2 linked regions of the Tamandua tetradactyla genome follow. The protein of the gene in region 1 purifies or fractionates together with the protein of each later gene. This does not show direct contact. Links are inferred from orthologs where the notes say so. Each region holds a gene or a part of one and is shown on either strand. Other genes may lie near its edges.

What was found.
Region 2: the proteins of MLF2 (region 1) and DNAJB6 purify together in Homo sapiens (affinity purification with mass spectrometry; 3 studies listed by BioGRID and IntAct, with this or other methods). This does not show direct contact. The link is inferred for Tamandua tetradactyla from reciprocal best matches to the Homo sapiens genes MLF2 and DNAJB6.

The regions. Positions count from the first base shown.
Region 1 is NC_135333.1:69,053,773-69,061,935, reverse strand, and holds the start of MLF2 (myeloid leukemia factor 2), read left to right. Parts: upstream 1-4,689; 5' UTR 4,690-4,770; intron 4,771-5,187; coding exon of another isoform or gene 5,188-5,733; intron 5,734-7,232; coding exon of another isoform or gene 7,233-7,274; intron 7,275-8,163. Other genes in the region: PTMS (parathymosin), read right to left, coding at 1,419-1,469, 1,644-1,705, 1,863-1,941, 2,181-2,252, 5,188-5,733, 7,233-7,274.
Region 2 is NC_135327.1:203,494,990-203,503,674, forward strand, and holds the start of DNAJB6 (dnaJ homolog subfamily B member 6), read left to right. Parts: upstream 1-5,075; 5' UTR 5,076-5,337; intron 5,338-8,685. UniProt on the Homo sapiens protein: Has a stimulatory effect on the ATPase activity of HSP70 in a dose-dependent and time-dependent manner and hence acts as a co-chaperone of HSP70. Plays an indispensable role in the organization of KRT8/KRT18 filaments.

The sequences.
Region 1 (8,163 bases):
GGCAGAAACTCCTGCGATCTAATATCCCTCATTGTACAGATGTTCAAAGAAATGAAATCCTTTGCCAAGGTCAAACAGGGTGTGTGTAGACAAAAGCTGAGTGCATGCGTGCAAGTACAATCCTGACCCTGACTTGTAGGTATCTTCTCATCTTCCGGAAGGTTGGTGTTTCAATGATTCAATTTCACCACACCCCCAGCACAGACCCCTAAGCACTCTGAGGCTTCCTCCAACCCAGAGGTTCTCAACTATGAGGAACCGACAAAAGTGGTATAGAGCTGGAGCAAAACTGAGAAGGAACTACCCTGGATCTGAGAGGGAACATCTGCTCCCCATCCCCAACCTAGCCTGAGGAGCACAGCTGGGAGACTTGGAGGGTGGGTGGCAAGGCAGGTGGCAAGCCTGGGAACCACGAGAGGCCTGGAGTCTCTCCCTGCTTAACTGGAAGGAGCTCACTTCCTCAGTGCCAGGCAGAGGACATCTTTGATGCCAGGCAGCTCTCACTCTGAATCCCAGGGGCTGTGACCCAGACCTTCAAGCCCTCTCCCACTTCAGGGACGGGACTTCCTGTTTCTGGGGCTTTCTATTTGCCTGGTTCAGCACAATAGAGCTGATAAGCTTTCCACTGGGCTCAGCAGTGTCTAGATCGTATGTGGGTTAGCAGGGAAGTGTGTGTATTGCTGGGAGGAGCATCCCTAAGAAACCAAAAACAGGACAGAAGTCAGCTCTCCAAGGTCTGGAAGCTCCCCATCCATGGGGCGTGCTGATCGTGGCTTCTGGAGTCAAAGGTGGTAGGAGTGTGCCACTGCTCTTACACAGAAGGGAGAGGTCCTGACAGAATGTGAGGTCAACCATCCCTCCTCCTCCACTCTTTTGGGTGCACTGGTGTGGCCCCGGGAAAGCAGGAGACAGGTTAAAAACAGAAGCGCGACCGTTTCTTTATTAAATTATACAAAAAGGGGAGGGGAGGGGGGCAGCTCTGGGGCTCGGCCCCAACCCCGGCCCCACCCCGGCCTGGCGCTGTCTGAGAGGAGGGGATCTGAGGGAGACCCAGGGATCAGGCAGGAGAGGGATGGGGCAAGAAATGAGGCTGGGGGATGCAGAGGTGGGTCGAAGCTACTGGAGAAGGGATGGACTTTGCTGGGAGGAGGGGAGAAGAGATCAAGGAAGTCAAGAGGAGCAACTGGGGACCAGCTGGGGCGCTCAGAAGAGCAGGTCAGGAGGTGGGACAATGGCTAGTGAGGACAGATGGGTGGTGTCTGAAGAGGTGGAAATGACAGGCTGGGGGATAGATGGGGGTGGCCGCTCAGGTGTGGGGCCCAGAGCAGGGAGCCAGGTGAAGAGCGGCTGGGCTTGTCAGCTCCCATCCCACCTCCAGGCCCCGAGGGGCCTCCCACCCCAGCCCGTTGGCAGGGGGCTCATGCCGATGCCCCATTTTCTGTCTTCTGCCGCTTGGGATCTGCTTCATCCTGCAGAGAGGGAAGAGTTGGGGGCGCTGTAAAATGGGAGAGGGGTCTCCCCCTGTTCCAGCCCTACTCCAGCCCCCGCCCGGGCCACCACAGGGATCTGGGTCCGAATCCAGAGAGGTTCCAGCCCCTTCTGTATCCCTGACAGCCCCTCAGGCCCCGCAACCCAGCCCAAACCTCCTCTTCAGCAGCTCTCTTCAGCGCGGGCCCTTCGTCATCCTCTTCTTCTTCTTCCTCATCTGAGGAGCCAGAAATGGGTCATTGGGGAAGGGCAGGAAGCCCCAGCAGAGACCCCCTGAGGTCGCCCTCTGCCCTGCTTCAGGTCTTCGAGCCCACCCTGACTGTGTTCTGTGCGGACCTGCTTTTCCCGGCCCTGCCACTCCTTCCCCTCCCCACCTTCTTCTTCCCCTTCATCCTCCTCCTCGCCGTCCTCGGCAGTTTCTTCTTCTTCCTCCTCAGCTCCGTTCTCTTCCTCCTGTGGGGGCCAGGAGAGGGAGCAGGGTCAGGCTGGCAGTGGGTTCCCATCCCATCCCAACCAGGGGCACCAGGTGAGTAAAGGACTTGGGAAAGGCCTGAGGGTGGGGCAGTGGGGTGGGAGGGGCCAAGGAAAGGCAGAGCCCAGTAGCCCAGGAAGGTAACTGTGAGGAAGGGTGAGACCCCCGGGAGGGGGGCAGCTGGGAAGGTGTGGCCGCCTCCCGCCTGTCCCCTCCGCACCTCCACCACCTCTTTCTTTCGCTCTTTCCGGCTTGCCTTCTCCTCCACCTTCTCTTTCTTCTCCTTCAGGTCCTGTAAGGGAGAGAGAGGTCACCTTTGAGAGCCACACATGATCTGCAGCCCCCAACTCCCTCCAGCCCATTCTCTGCAGGGAACTTGGGGGAGAGTGGAAGGGAGATTGCAGCCACACTGTAGAGACGGAACAGACATGCCTACGTTAGGGCCAGTAAAGACTGAGCCCAGAGACCTCCTTCCCCAAGACCAAAGCGGGCAGAAGAGAAAGTCTTGAAGCAAAGGGGAGTGGGCAGCCAAGGTAACTGATTCCCACCCCCATCAAGTTTTCTTCCAAACCTCTCTGGCTGAGAGTTCTGCTCAGCAAAGCAAATCCCCTCCATCTGCTTGCAGCCCTCAGTGCCCTACTCCCCCTTGATGTCCCTCCACCTCCTTTGCCTGCCCCCTCCCACAGCCTGCCCAGCACTGCCTTTTGTCTACATTGGGGGCCTTTTCCTGAGTACTCTCTCCTGGGCTCCCTCCAAACTACCCCCTCCAGCTTCTTCAGCCTTTGTTTCTCTCTCTGTCTCCCTAATCCTCATACTCTTACTCAGCCAAACACCATAGGAATAGGGAGAGCACCCCAGCCCAATTACCAATACCCCTCTACTTTTCCTCACCCCTACCCCCAAACAGCTGACACAAGGCCAAATAGTAACCCCCCCCCCCCCCCACTTCCTGGCAGTGTATGTGGGAAGGGAAAAGTAGCCTTTTCCAGTGCAAATGCATGAAAAATAGGATAAAAGGAACGGAAGGGAAAGAACATCAGCCATGGAAGACGAAGAGAGAGAGAAGAAAAAAACAAGGCCCATGTCTGAGGTGGGATGGGAATGCAGACAGGGAGGTCCCCATTCGGAGTATCCTCCCAGCCTTCCACCACTGCCCCCTCTCCTCCAAACCACAAGATCCCAGCAGGCAAAGGCCTGATGTTCTATTCTGATGTGGCAGAGGAGGTCGATGCTCATGGAGAAGTCCCCTGTGGACACTGCACCTGCCCTTCCAGTTCAGATTCCAGTCCTCTCCCCGCCCCACCCCTTGGCAGGCACCGAGTGACACTGTGGGTGTCCCTGTGTGATCTGATCTGGTGTTGATGTGCAACTGCATGTATCTGATTCCTTGTGGAGGGAAGTTTTCTGTGTGAGCAGATCGCCCAGGGCAAATGTGTCCTTTCTGGAACAGGATGGGGGATAAGAAAGGGATTAGTAGATGACAATTTGCTGGCCCGGGGGGACACTCAATTCCCTTCCCCTGTAAGGGGGGGGGGGGGGCAGCACAGAAAACTTCACCTTCTCTCCCCCACTACATTTCTTCTTCATCCTACTTCACTGTCCCCATTTCTTTGCCATATCATTGGTGTGGCACTTCTATTCTGTGGGCTTTTCCTTACCACCTGGGACAGAAGATCCTGGAGCTAGTCAACCTCTCTCTGGGGGGCCCAGACCTCTATATTGCCCTGGCCTGAGTTTGTTGTCTGGGCTGATGGAAGGAGGGGGAGTGCAAGAGAGGGAGGGTGAATACCAGAGTCCAAAGTCCAAGGGGCCGGGATCTCTCCTCCCCTGACCTGTCCTTCTGGTCACTGTCCTTCTATGATCCCCCTTCCAGAAGGGTATGTGACCTAAGCCCTAGGTCTTGTGCTAATCAGCTCTCTGGCCTCATTTACTCAACACAGGCCCACACACTGACACAGACTGACACCGATTCAGAAGAGCAGCAATGGATAGCGCGCCCACACAATCTGGAGACACATGGCCCGGTGTTTGGGCATTCTGGCACTCACTCTGGAGACAGCACCAGAGCACAGCAGAGCCACTTGGCACTCACAAAGCAGCAACATAGCTCCAGAGCATGACATCTCCACATGCACACACGTAAGTGACACGGGCAGTCCCACACGCTTGCTGGATTTCAGACATACAAAGACACCTACTCAATTAAGTCACATGCCACCACACACACTTATACCGAACCGGAGGGCCATCCAGGCACACCTTGTGCGATAGCAAACACACCCGTCTCCCACGTTTTTAATCCCACAGGTTCTCCCTTTTTACCTCTAAGGGCTCGGGGCCGCCTGTGTGCCAGCTCCTCACACCACCCCCCTACACCAAGGTCGGGCCCCCAGCCCCCAAACCCCGGCGGCATTAATTTCCCAAAGCGACACTCCACGCGTCCCCTAGGGAAATTAGAAGGCGGCAGGAAGAGAGGCAAGGGCAAAGGTGCGGAGCCGGGCGGGGAGCTCATGAGGTTAAGGGCAGCTCCAAGCAATGCCGAGCCTCAGCTTTTTCGAAGGCTATGTCTGCCCCTCTTCGAATTTTGTAGGAATTCAAGATTCTTTAAGTCGGGGGGAGTGGGAGCAAACGGAGAGAAAGGAAAGCCAGTGGAGGAGAGGGAATGTGTGTAGACGGAAGGAAAGGAGGCAGTAGCTATCGGGGGAGGGAAGCGAGACGGTCGGGCCGCGAGGGGAGGGGCCGAGAGGAGTAGCCTCCCGGGAGAGTCCTGTTTACACTTGAGGATCTCAAACCGCTTAGCAGGAGGAAAGGTGAGGTCAGCATGGAAAGAGACGGAAAACCAGGCGCGGGATGGGGAAGAGCAGGAGAGGGAGCGCGGTGAAGTGAGCCGCCGAGAGCGCCGACGGGAAACCAGACGGGGTAGAGGGCGGCAAGGTTGGGCCAGGCGGCCGAGGGGTGGGGACCGCGGCGGGGCCGAGCGCCGACTCGAGCGGCGAGGCCGGAGGCGCGGCGCGCGCGGGGAAGCTAGAGGGCGCTGGCGGGAGCCGCGCGGAGCGGGGTCGGCAGCGCCAGGCTGGGGAGCGGGGGGGCAGGGCGCGGCGGGGTCCGCCGGGACCTGGGCGCTAGGGCCGCACGGGGCCGTCGGGGGAGGCCTGGGGGCGGAGGGCAAAGCCGAGCGAAGCCCGGGGACGCGCGGGGTCCCGGCCTGCCGCTGCCCCCGCCCGTACCTTGGCGCTCAGCTCGGCCGCTGCCTCCACGCTCTTCTCCGACATGGTGCCGGGGCCGGGGCCGGAGCTGGCGGGGAGCCGGGGTCCCGGGGCCGGGACGAAGGAGCCCTGGACGGCGAAGAGTGGCCGCGGCCGGAACCTGGCGCGGTGGCGGCGGCGACAGCGGCAGCGGCGGCCGCTCAGCAAGCTGGGTTTCTGGAAGAGGCGGCAGAGGCGCGCGGGGTGGGGCGGGGGTGGGTCTGGAGCGGAGACCCGCAGGGCTGCGGCCGTCCGGAGGGCGGGCGAAAGGGCGGTGCGGGCGATGGCCGGCGCGCTCTGGCCGCGGTCGCTCAGTCTTCGGCTCGCCACCCACGCACCAGCAGAGCTGCCGCCGACCAGCCGCTGCCGCCCCCGGGAAGAGAACCCGCTTATAAGGCGGCGCTGCCCGACGGGAGGGGCTTCCCAGGGGTGGGGCAGGCTGGAGCTGGGAGGAGAGGAGAGGGGAGGGGAGGGAAGGGGAGGGGGATGGAAGAGGAGGTTGGAGAGGTGGGGATAGGAGGATGAAAGCTAGGGGAGGGAGAGCGAGAGAGGCGGGAGGGAAGACGGGATCGGGAGGGGGAAATCGAGAGACTGACAGTCGCTGAGAAAGAGGAGTGGGGCGCGGAGGTGGGAAGGGGTGGGGTTCCTGCAGGGAGGGATCTCTTCGAATCCTAACCTACTGCCTGCGAATGTAGAGTCTATCTTTTGAGGGCGGGCTGGAGGGGTGGCTAGAGTCCTACTGACCCCCCAAAACCCTGAAATTTTGCCAAGGGGTAAAGGGAAAGGCAGGGCAGGTATCTGAAAAAACCAAAAGCTTAAAGAAGAGGAAGAGGGTGGGAGAGCTACTTCCACATCAACGCTGGATTGCCCCTCTCATCCTTGGTCTACATTATCTCGTGGTGGCCTTGAGAGAGGATGGGAGCGCAGAAAAGGCAGCCCACCCTTCTTTCTCTCCCGAAACTGACATTCGGCGGTCCTCCTTTCCTGGCTCTTCCTCGGGATCGAAGGGCAGTCCGAGGACCCCCAGTCTCCTTTGCTCGGCCCACCTCTACCCGAACTTCCACCCCTCTCACCTCAGTTTTCTTTGCGTGGTTCTTCTATTTTCTTCTTCCCACTTCTTTTCTCTGTTCCCAGACTCCCTCCTTTACCACCATTTATATCTGTATCTTATTCTTCTATCACCTCCTGTCCTCTTCTCCTTTACCCTCCCATCTCTGCTTTCTTTCCTGTTCTTGTCTTATCTGACTTTGTCACCTGGCCTTTTGACTGATTTTCCTCAACTCTTCATGTCCCTTCCTCTGCTGCCATCTTCCCCAGGCCTTTCTATGTTGTATTTGCCTCCTTGGCAAGGGGTCCAGGTTTGGAGGTCCAGCCCCCACCTGTTTCACACATGCTCAGCTCCTCAGCCTCAGCCTCCTGGGGTCATTTTGAGAAGCTTGGGATTTCAGGAGAGGACAGGGACCGAGGGGGGGGGGCATGTATTAAAGGTCAGGAAGGTGGTTGAAGTAGAAGGCATTCTGAATTTGTCACCATCATTATACTTCATCTTTATCATTTCCATTTCTTAATAAACTTTGATCAATCATCATCATTATTTAGTATTTGCGTGCTTAAATACACCATCTTTTGATCCCTTGATGTACACACTTCCCAATTTCTCTTTAAGACTCTTCTGTTAGTTTCTAAGTCTCGGTCTCCTCAAAGATCTTTGGGCTCCACCCGAGTTTTTCCCTGCCCGACTCTGCCCATCTTTTCTCGGAGATCTTTCCATTTTCCTCTCGCAGTCTGTTTTTCTGACTCACTCGCTGATTCTTTAGTGATCTCTCACCGTCTCCATCTCTGTTCCCCTCTCTTGCTTCATTTCTCTTCTTCTCCCCCCTCCTTCGCTCTCCCCCCCCCCCATAGTATCCCTGTCTCTCTCCCTCCCCATCAGTCTCTCTTTCCTCTCCTCCCTGCCCTCCTTCCCCCTCCCTGCTTTCCACCTCCCAGCCCCGCCTGCGGTCTCGGACACCCTGCTGGGCTCTTACCCCGTTGTCCTGGTAACCGCCCCCCACTCCGGTCACCTCCATTCCCCTCCCCCCTCCAATCACCGCCACCAACAACCTCCATCCACCTTCCTCCTATTTTTCCTGAGAACCAATAGAAACCCTGTTGCCAGGTGGAATGCTCATTTGAATCAGCCAATCCAGAAGCCTAACTCCTTGCCCTGCCTTATATGGGGATGTGAGGAGGGCCACTCCCCCCACTCCAGCCCCATTGGGGACCAGCCTCTCCAATGTCCCGTCTCCCGGCCCTGGAGAGAGCTAGGGACCCTCCCTCTCACCCTTCTATAAGTGGCCTGGCCTCCCATTCCTCTAACTGGGACCATCAGGGTTAGTGTGCTGTGGGCTGGACTGTGGGCTGGGCCTCAGGGCCCGGGGGTGGGAATGAGGTGTGATCAGGGGAGGGGGGGCGGAGAGAGCCGGGAATTTTGCCCAGGGAGGGGTGTCTGGGAGCGGAGGCAGCTGCAGTGGAAAATTCCTGGGAGATGGAGAGGCAGAGAATGGGAATCCTGCCCCAGGGCCCGAGGGAGCTTCTTGAGAATCTAAGAGTGGACACAGGGGTCTTTGCACTACCTGGAAAAGATTGAGGAAGCAGGAGACTTAGGTCTAATTCCCTTTCTGCATGGGGGAAGCATCTTCAGCCTTTCCTGTCAGGTTGGACAACAGACCAGTCTCTTGAAATCTTGGCTTCAGGCAAAAGAAATCTGAAGTGAGACTTGGGATGAATTTGGAGTGAGTGGGAAGCTGAAAGCCTACCCTCATGGTCCTTGGGGTTAGTCTCTGGACCTCTGGGGCCAACAGCGTTAGATGATGCCAGCCTGTGTTTGCTCCTTTGTATAGAACTATTTCTGAGGCCTTGTGGAGGCTTGTCTATTCCTAGAATTCTATTACTCCATGGTCATAATCTCTCCACTAG
Region 2 (8,685 bases), on another chromosome or scaffold:
ATACACTAAAGTTCTTGTTGTTATGTTTGACTAATCAGGAACTAAACTGACATTTTTAGTACAAACTCTGGGCAATTTGTTTTGAAGGCAGGAACCTAAAGTAAAGCACATATATATGTAAGATTCTTCAAAGGTCATGACATCTTGGATATTCTTTGAGATTTTTGATTTACATATATTCCTTTGAGGCTTTGAAGGCAGAATATTCATTTGAGAAACATATATGTATGTGAAATATCCCATTTCTCATATAATATAATGCCCTGTGCTTTCATGATACCTTTTATCTGAGGAGCTCAAAGAACTAATTATTTCCAACGCCTATATAGGTTACGTTAAGTATCATTATTTCTAATTTACAGATGGGGAAACTGAGGCTTGTTAGCTCGGTTAAAATCATAGCAACATCAACATTAAAGTTTTACTGGTCATTTAGGATGCATGGCACAAAAATAAATTCATGCACCACATCAACGTGGTAATTACTTAAAAACACCTATTTTTATTCTCTGGCCTCTGAACAAAAACTGTTCTTTTTCCACTCACCTGAAGAAGAAAAATATTCTATGAGCAATGTAAGTATTTGAAGTGTTAATGAAATTTTTCTCTACTCCTTTTTTCTTTTGAGAAGTCTAAACAATCTTCTCTAGTGCTTCACCTTTTAAAATTTAACTATGTATTTTAATCCCTAACACTCCCCACAATTGTTCTTCCAAATTCATCCATTTTCTCAAGGCCTCCCATATTGAGAAAATCTTGGCCATTAGAATTTCCACATCTTATCTGTTCTCTATCTTTTCTTTTTTCCTGTTTTTTTTAAAATTTTTTATTAATTAAAAAAATTACAAGAAACAAACATTCCCAACACATACAATCAGCAATTCACAATATCATCACATAGTTGCATATTCATCATCATGATCATTTCTCAGAACATTAGCATCAATTCAGAAAAAGAAATAAAAAGACAACAGAAAAATATAACAAACAGAAAAAAAAAAATTTACAGGCCATACCCCTTACTGATCCCTTTCATTTTCCTGTTTTGAAAGAAGAAGTGTAAATCCTCTTTTTCAAAGTTAGTTCCTCTATCCCTGTACCTGGTTCCATATCTTCATGCCTACTCTGGGACTTAACTCCTTTAACTATTGCTTGCTCTCCAGCATCTTCAATTCCATCTCTTCCACTGGGTCCTTTGATCAGAAATATGCACAAATATCTTAATGATAAAAACACATAGACAAAAAAACAGAAACAACAAAATAAAACCGCATAAACCAAACCAAACCAACCTAAACTCTAAGCTCCTGGAGAGAAAGAGTCATGTTTCTTTGATTTATGCCTAAAGTCCAGCAAAATGCTGGAATATAGTAGGTATTCAATAAATGAATAAATGAAAACATATTTCTCTTGCTTGTCCCACAATTTCATTTCAACTTCGTACCACCTCACATACTACATAGGCCTCTTGGATGGACTTTTGTCACTCATAGTACTTTTATAAAAATTATTCTTAATGGTTTGAAAAATAATAAAATAAAAAGTTCAAACACAAGAATCACAAGGAAAGGAAGAACTATCTGAAATCTCACTATCTAGTATAAGCATTTTCAGCAATTTGCTGAATATTCTTCCCAGTTTAATGCATGTGTATGCATATATATATATGCATAAATGAACACAATTTTGCAAAAATGGGATACTATACAAGCTCTGTTTCAGTAATGTATTTTAGATATGTTTTATGTCAATAAATATAACCACATTTTTTTAAAGGGCTGAGTGGTATTTTGCGGTAAGGTGGTACTGATTATTTGCAAAGTTGTAATCAACTTTGCAAATAAAAAAGACACCTTGTGTCTTTTTTCAAAAGCACATTTCAGTTTAAAAATCACCAAGCTGCAATTCAGAATGCTTACCCGGGGTCCCGAGACTGATGGATCCCCTCATATTGCCTATTTTTCTGGGGAGAGTCTATAATTTTTATCAGTTTTTCGGAGGCCTGGAACATAGAATGATTATTATTTAGAGTATTACTATGTTCCAGGAACTAAGTTAAGCACATACAATTAATCTTCACATCAAGCCAATTATCCCCATTTTACAGATTAGGAAACAAAGCCATGGAGAATGACTGGTCTCTACTTTTCTACACATTTTGCAAATCACAGATTTGTCATTGTTTGACTTCGATCATCTCATACCCTTGCTTCAACCTCTTCTATGTTTTCCCATCGTCTAGATGGTTCTCAGTTTTTATAACTTTCAATCTCTGTCTTTCACTATTCCTGTTTAGATGCTTTGCTTCAAAGCAGCTTGCTCACTTTGCACCTTGTTTCCTTAAGGTCACCAATTTCTTTTCACCCCATTTTAAATCCTTCCTCTCATAGGACTGCCCTACCTCAGAGTGATCATCTCCCTCTAAACTTAGTTTCCCACTAGCACCACCATTTGGCTTAGTGTTAATGTGAGAATAAAACCTTGACGCTGTAAGATCTTCTCCTTTGTTTTGCAAAGAGCTATTTAAATATTGCCATGTTATTTAATTTTGAAGGTGTTTACACCTGTTCTCTTCATCTACCATGTGAATTCCAGATTCCATTAGAGATGAGGCCTTGTTTTATACCAGTTGTTTTTTCTCATAATACAGTTCACTGCGTTAACAAGTGTTTTAATAAATTTTTGATTTTTTGGGGGGGGGGAGGGAGGATGTTATTTGTGGTTAGCCTGCACTTACTATTTAAAATTCACGTCTCTGTGCTGTCTGCATTTTAAGATTATCTCACACTTGCTGTAAGGAATTTATTTAAATGTGAAGTGTCAGATGATAATACTGTCAACACTTGAAGAAAAATAAAAGTTCATCAACTTGCTGTGGCAGACATGTTTACATGTGACAGTGCCAAACTGTTCATATATCTGAATGAAATTCCAGTTTCTGCTAAGATTATCTTAGGCTTTATCATGAGATGTCCAAACTAAATCAAATGTATTACTCATTTCTTTTGATTGGGAATCATAACCTACTAAAAAAACAGAGAATTGACTTTGATAAAAATATAAATATATTTTGATGATCATTTGCTAAAAACTACATATCAGGTAATACAATAAAGGCTTAGCAAAAACAAAAAATGAACAAAGAATATAAAGCAATCTTTTGTGAAATAGAAAAAGTAGAACCATGCCTACTTAACAGTTAAGTGTTCCAGATTCCTAAAACGGGTCATTAAGCAGCTATTATCAATGGAAAGTATAAAAAAAAAGTGCCTTTCCTCCAAGTATTTAAAGAACATAGGTGAAGGAGAATTCAGCATGTTGTTCAGTGTGTCTGAAAAACTGGCCACTGGAAATCAACACTAGCATATCTGTAGCACTTTAAGTTTGTGAAGTACATGGCAAAGAGCTTTTTTTATTTTCAAAGGAAACAATTAAGTGGACTAGGACAAAGACACCGAGGTATGAGACAAAGGTTTGGCTTGATATTATAGAGTAAAAACAGAAATCTGGACTAGGATTCATGGATTTAACTGCTCGTGGGCCTCACTGAACCTTGGATTTGTGGAGACTTTTTTCAGTACTTGAGACCACAGCATTTTTTATTCTTACAGGAATACTAATCAATAACTAATCATTAACTTCAAACTTCTTGTGTTGGGTTTTACCCTTAGAATCAGATTCCTTGCTGATGCAGGAAAGGCTTAGTCATGGCGGGACAGCCATAAATGCTCAGCTATCAAAACACACCAAATTGTCTGTAAACTTCAAAAAAATTTAAAAACTGCCCCTTATTATTTTGGGCCACAGCTTGCTTTCATTTCTTTCAGCCGCTTACTCCTTCGAGAAGCTTATAGGTTTTACTGCTTGCAAATCAATGAGTTAGGTTTCAAAGGGAATTTTAAGAAGTAATTAAGGTGATTCTCAGGAAGGTGACCGCAGCTTGACCCAGAAGGTCTGTGCCTAGTTATTCAACTTCTAACCGTGGCCATGGCCTGATTTTTTGTGTCCTTGACATGACAACACTAGGTTCTAGGTTTTTGCCTATATAACTTATTTCTGCTTTAGAGAAGAGTAACAGGGAAGGAGGCTGGTTAATAGTATTTGCACAATTTAAAATGAAGATTATCGGTAAAGACGGAAAAGTAAAATAACTATATCTTCACTGTTTTCAGGATACGGGCTCCTTATTTACTGCTAGACGGTTCCACTCTCACGTAGGTGCCGCATGACCTTTTAACAATACAGACTCTCAGGTGTCACGTCCAGGAATCTGATTCAGTAGCTCTGGGGGTGAAACCTCCCTGAACATGCATTTTTAAAAAGCACCCAGGAGGTTCAGACGCTGGAGCTGCATGCCCACGAGGGAAAAACCAGCGAGAAAGATCCCTTGTTTCTTCTATTCTAACCAAGACACCTTTCAACTTGGGGCTGGGTACTGTCATCAAGTTTCCTCTGGCCTTGCTTAGCTCACGATTTCAGTTTCGGCTCTAAAGGCACTCAGTGCTGGGACCTCAAATAGTTTTTCTTTTCCCTTCTTCCCCAATTACATATTCATTGCTCTTATTAAATTATAATCTCTTTGTGGGAGACTGTCCCTGGTGGTAACCCCATCCGAGTAATGAGCTCAGTGGCTCTCCCAACAATCGGTCAATGAATAAAGCACAGGGTACTTCAGCACAGCTGCCGGGTTCTCTCAATCAGACGCGGGTGAGGGCGACTGGTTTCCCGCACCCCACACCGTCACCTTGCAGAAGTGCGCCAACTTCCAATGTCCGTCTCCGCTTGCCCGCCGCCCTTAACCGTCACTGATTCCTCCGTGAAGTTAGAAGTGGGGAGAGGCCGTCCCAATTGGGGCGGTGCGTCCTCCTGAGCTTCTCAGAGAGGCCTTTCAGTGGCCCACCAGACTGAGGACACGAACCATGTACTCAAATCCGCTGTGGCGTTCCTCCAAGTCCACCGCATTGCAAAGCGTGAGACCCCCCCAGCACGACTCCCAAACCGGCAGATGGCGCTCGCTGGGGAAAGCACGAAGAATTTTCGGGAAGGCACCGGGAGGGGGGACAGGGAACGAGGCAGAAGAGGTTTTTAACCTCGTGGCAGCAACCGCAGCTGCGGCTGCCTCCGCACATTAATGGTCGGGCGGAAGTCGAGCGTCGCCGCGCTGCCCGACGCCTGACGTACTTCCTGTTTGTTGTTGGAGAAAGGGAGAGAAAGAAAAGCGCGAGGAATCGCTGCCACCGCCTCCAGCAGTACCAGCCGTGACGGAGCTGAGGGGAGACCACGGGCCTCGCCGCCCAGCTTCTCTTCCTTCCTGCCGCTGGCTGCCAACCTCCTCTGGTAAGGGAACGACCTCCCAGGCTGCGGGGGAGGTTTGGGGACGAGGGCACTGCCTCTGAGCCCCGGCTAGTGGCTGACTTGACCCGGCGCCTTAGCAACAGCATGTGTGTGGTGGATGACCCAGGTGTCGCGGCGCTGGCTGGCCTTTGGGAGTAGGGTGGGTTGAGGGAAAGGAATAAAGGCCTGACGATTCGTACTCGTTTCGAAGCAGTGAGCTGGGATGACCGCCCCGGAGTCGAGTCGGCGCCGCTTCTCCCTTCTCGGCCGGCGCTGCGGGCCTCTGGTGTCCTTGCTCCATACAGGGCTCCCTTCCTCCTCGGGGTTGGCGGTTGGGGGTGGGGCCCGTGCGAGGGACACCCGGGCGACGGCGGCGAGGGCCTGGGCTCCTGTTTCAGGCTTTTCTCTCTTATCCCTGTTGTGCGGAAACGTTGTCTCTCTCGACTTCTCTTTCTTTTCTCTTTTTTATCAATGGAAAGGGGTTGAAGGGCGAGGAGCTTTTTAATTTCCTTTTAAGCTCTTTTGTAGTTGACTCTGAAGCCAAAATCAGCCAATCTTTATCGGTTCGGAAAAGAGCAGAATTCATATGGTAGATAGTGCTGCCAAGTATGGAGCACAGGAAGCGGGTGGTGGGGATGCGAAAGCCCCCTTTATAGAACTACCGACTGATTTTTCCGTTTCTTGGTCAGCAAACGGCCTTTCAACTCACAGAAGAGGTTTATTTGCTTTGTTTCACTTAAAAACAAACAACAAACCCGTACTGTAGTTTTTATAAGGATAGCAGCTTTTGCCCAAGTAAGGAAAGAAGTTTCGTTGACACAAGAAGTGGTAATTGCAAACTTTTTATTATCTCGAAAAAGGTTTTTGGAGTAGTGTCTTTTTTTGTTGTTTTAAAAGATAATTTGATAGTAAACTTCATTACGCAGTTATATGGGGTTCTCATATAAACTAGAGGAAAGGAAATAGTGTAGAAGACTACTCTTGTCACCAAGAGGGACTAACGATAGAACTGAAGATTCCGGTATGTATGGAAAGAGCAGGCTAGCAACTGTTTGTATTTTCAGCATTTTATTTGAATTGTGAATTTGTAGTAAACTTCTATGGGTAGGATCTTTGAGGACAACTGATTGATTAGAGAAGTTAGACTAATCGGCACATACAAAAGAAGTTGAAAAACCTTGACTATTTGAATTTTGCTTGCTCTGTTCGCATGTAATCACAACTTTCTAAGGTACAAATCGGAAATGATAATGGCTTCTGAAAGGAATTAATTTGTTAATTGGCTCTGCATCTACTGCTCTACTACACTTCATTCTCTCTGGAAAGTTTAATCCATACTTTTTTCTTGTTTCTGCTATTGAGAATCTTCATCTCCTGTGGGGTCAGGAACTGTCTTTTATTTTAGGGGTCTGTAATAAGAAAATGAGTGTTCTTTAGACATACACTTCCTTTAATCCAGTCTAGAATTGTTTGGATTATGCAGAGTATGAAATTTGGGGAGTAAATTGACTTGATGTAGTAGCTTGTAGGTGTGGATGACTTGACAGGAAGTGGGAGGAGAACAAAAGGGATTGAGAAGGTGGTTTTTAAAAAAAGTCCTAGCTGGGCTTAGTGTGTTCCTGTAGGCAATGAGAAAGTTGGAAATTTAAGAGTATTGAGAGCATTTAAAGAATTTGAGATGACTTCAGCCCCTCTTCAAAACATCCATGTTTTAAAGTTTATTTTCTTTTGGATTTCAAAGTGTATGATTTGTGGGGTATTTCTAGTTTCTGGACAGAGACTGAACCTGGAGGGTTCGGGTGGGAAATATTGTTTGAGTAATAAAGTGAAGGCTAAATCATGGATATGAAATTACAGTATGATACTTGCAACTAGGTGGAATACAATAGCTTTCCTTTTTAAGTACACCCATTTTTTTTTAAGTGTTTAGAGCCAAAAGTGGATCCATTCTCCCATGCATTAACTTTATTTTGCACTGTTTCAAACAAATGTGATCGTACCCATCACTCCATTGACAGTTTAGTGGGTGGGATGATAAGCATTTTTTAAAGTTACCACATTCTCATAAAAGAGCACTTCAAAATACAGTAGGTCGTCGTCGTCGTTGTTGTTTAACTTGAACCTCACACATAGAGCAGAGCCATTTATTTGGTTTTCTGTAGAGCTCTGACTTAATTGAGATTTAAAAATTTTTTTTTATTGTATAGTATGACATATATACAAAGCAAAGAAAGAAAGGTAAATTGTTTTTAAATCCAACTTTTCAAGTTTGCATCTATATTTCAACATAAGGAATGCCATGTAAAGTATGATTGATATGATAGTACATATTCAACACCTTATTCTATTTTAAAGTTTTTAAATTCATCCAGGACACCCATCTAGTGGTGAAAGGCAGGTAATTGCAGGCTATTAGTGAATTAAGATAGGATTAGAGTGACAAGATAATAACAAATACTGTAGTTCTTCCTATGTCGGTAAATAGACCTTGAGAGCATTTCAGACTAAAAAAATTAAGGCTAATGGTGGTTATATGTGTTTTGTAAACTTATTTAGGGGGTGCTCATAAAATCACAGTTGAACCTTTTCGTGTGAATATCCTGCATGAGAGTGAAGTAAATTTTAAAAAGCCTTTTCTAAAGTCTGGGAAAATTAATCTCTAGAAAAATAATAAAAGTATACAAATTCCTAAAGGAATGCAATATCAAAGGAAAGAAGGCTCTGTGTTATTTATATTTCACATCTATTTCAAAAAGGATTTGGTCATAGCTTGGTTTTCTCATAAAATTTTTACTATGTCTATGTAAAATTCATAAGCAACCATAAGCTTAAATGTTTGTCTATCAAAAGACTCCTAGTAAGGAGTGGTATTTTAGGATTCTTAAGTTCAGTGACGAAGATAAATTTGTTGAAGGGTGATTTCCATACAGGGAATGTGATCTTACCCCCTTTAAAATTCTCTTACTGCCTTTTACCCCCCCCCCCCGCCCCAAAGCACTTATACCTTGTTTAATATTTTGTTGTGTGTATGTGTGTGCACATGCATGCATGCTTAAGTTCTTAATGCCCTTCTACCACCTTCAGATGGCATAATCCTCCAGGGTAGACCTTGAATCTATTGTAATATTGTGTGCCTACAGCAGTGTCCATGAATCAGTGTTCAGGACATACTGGTTGAAGTAGTCTGTGTTCTAATTACTCTTCTATGAGTAATAATGGAATTCAGAGTTTAGGAAAATTGGGGGAAAAAATGTATATGCAGTTTTACAGTTTCAGTTCACTAGTATTTGAAACTGAATACTTGACATAGAATGTGTTCTATTTAGTTTTTAATTGAAGGAAGTTAGTCAA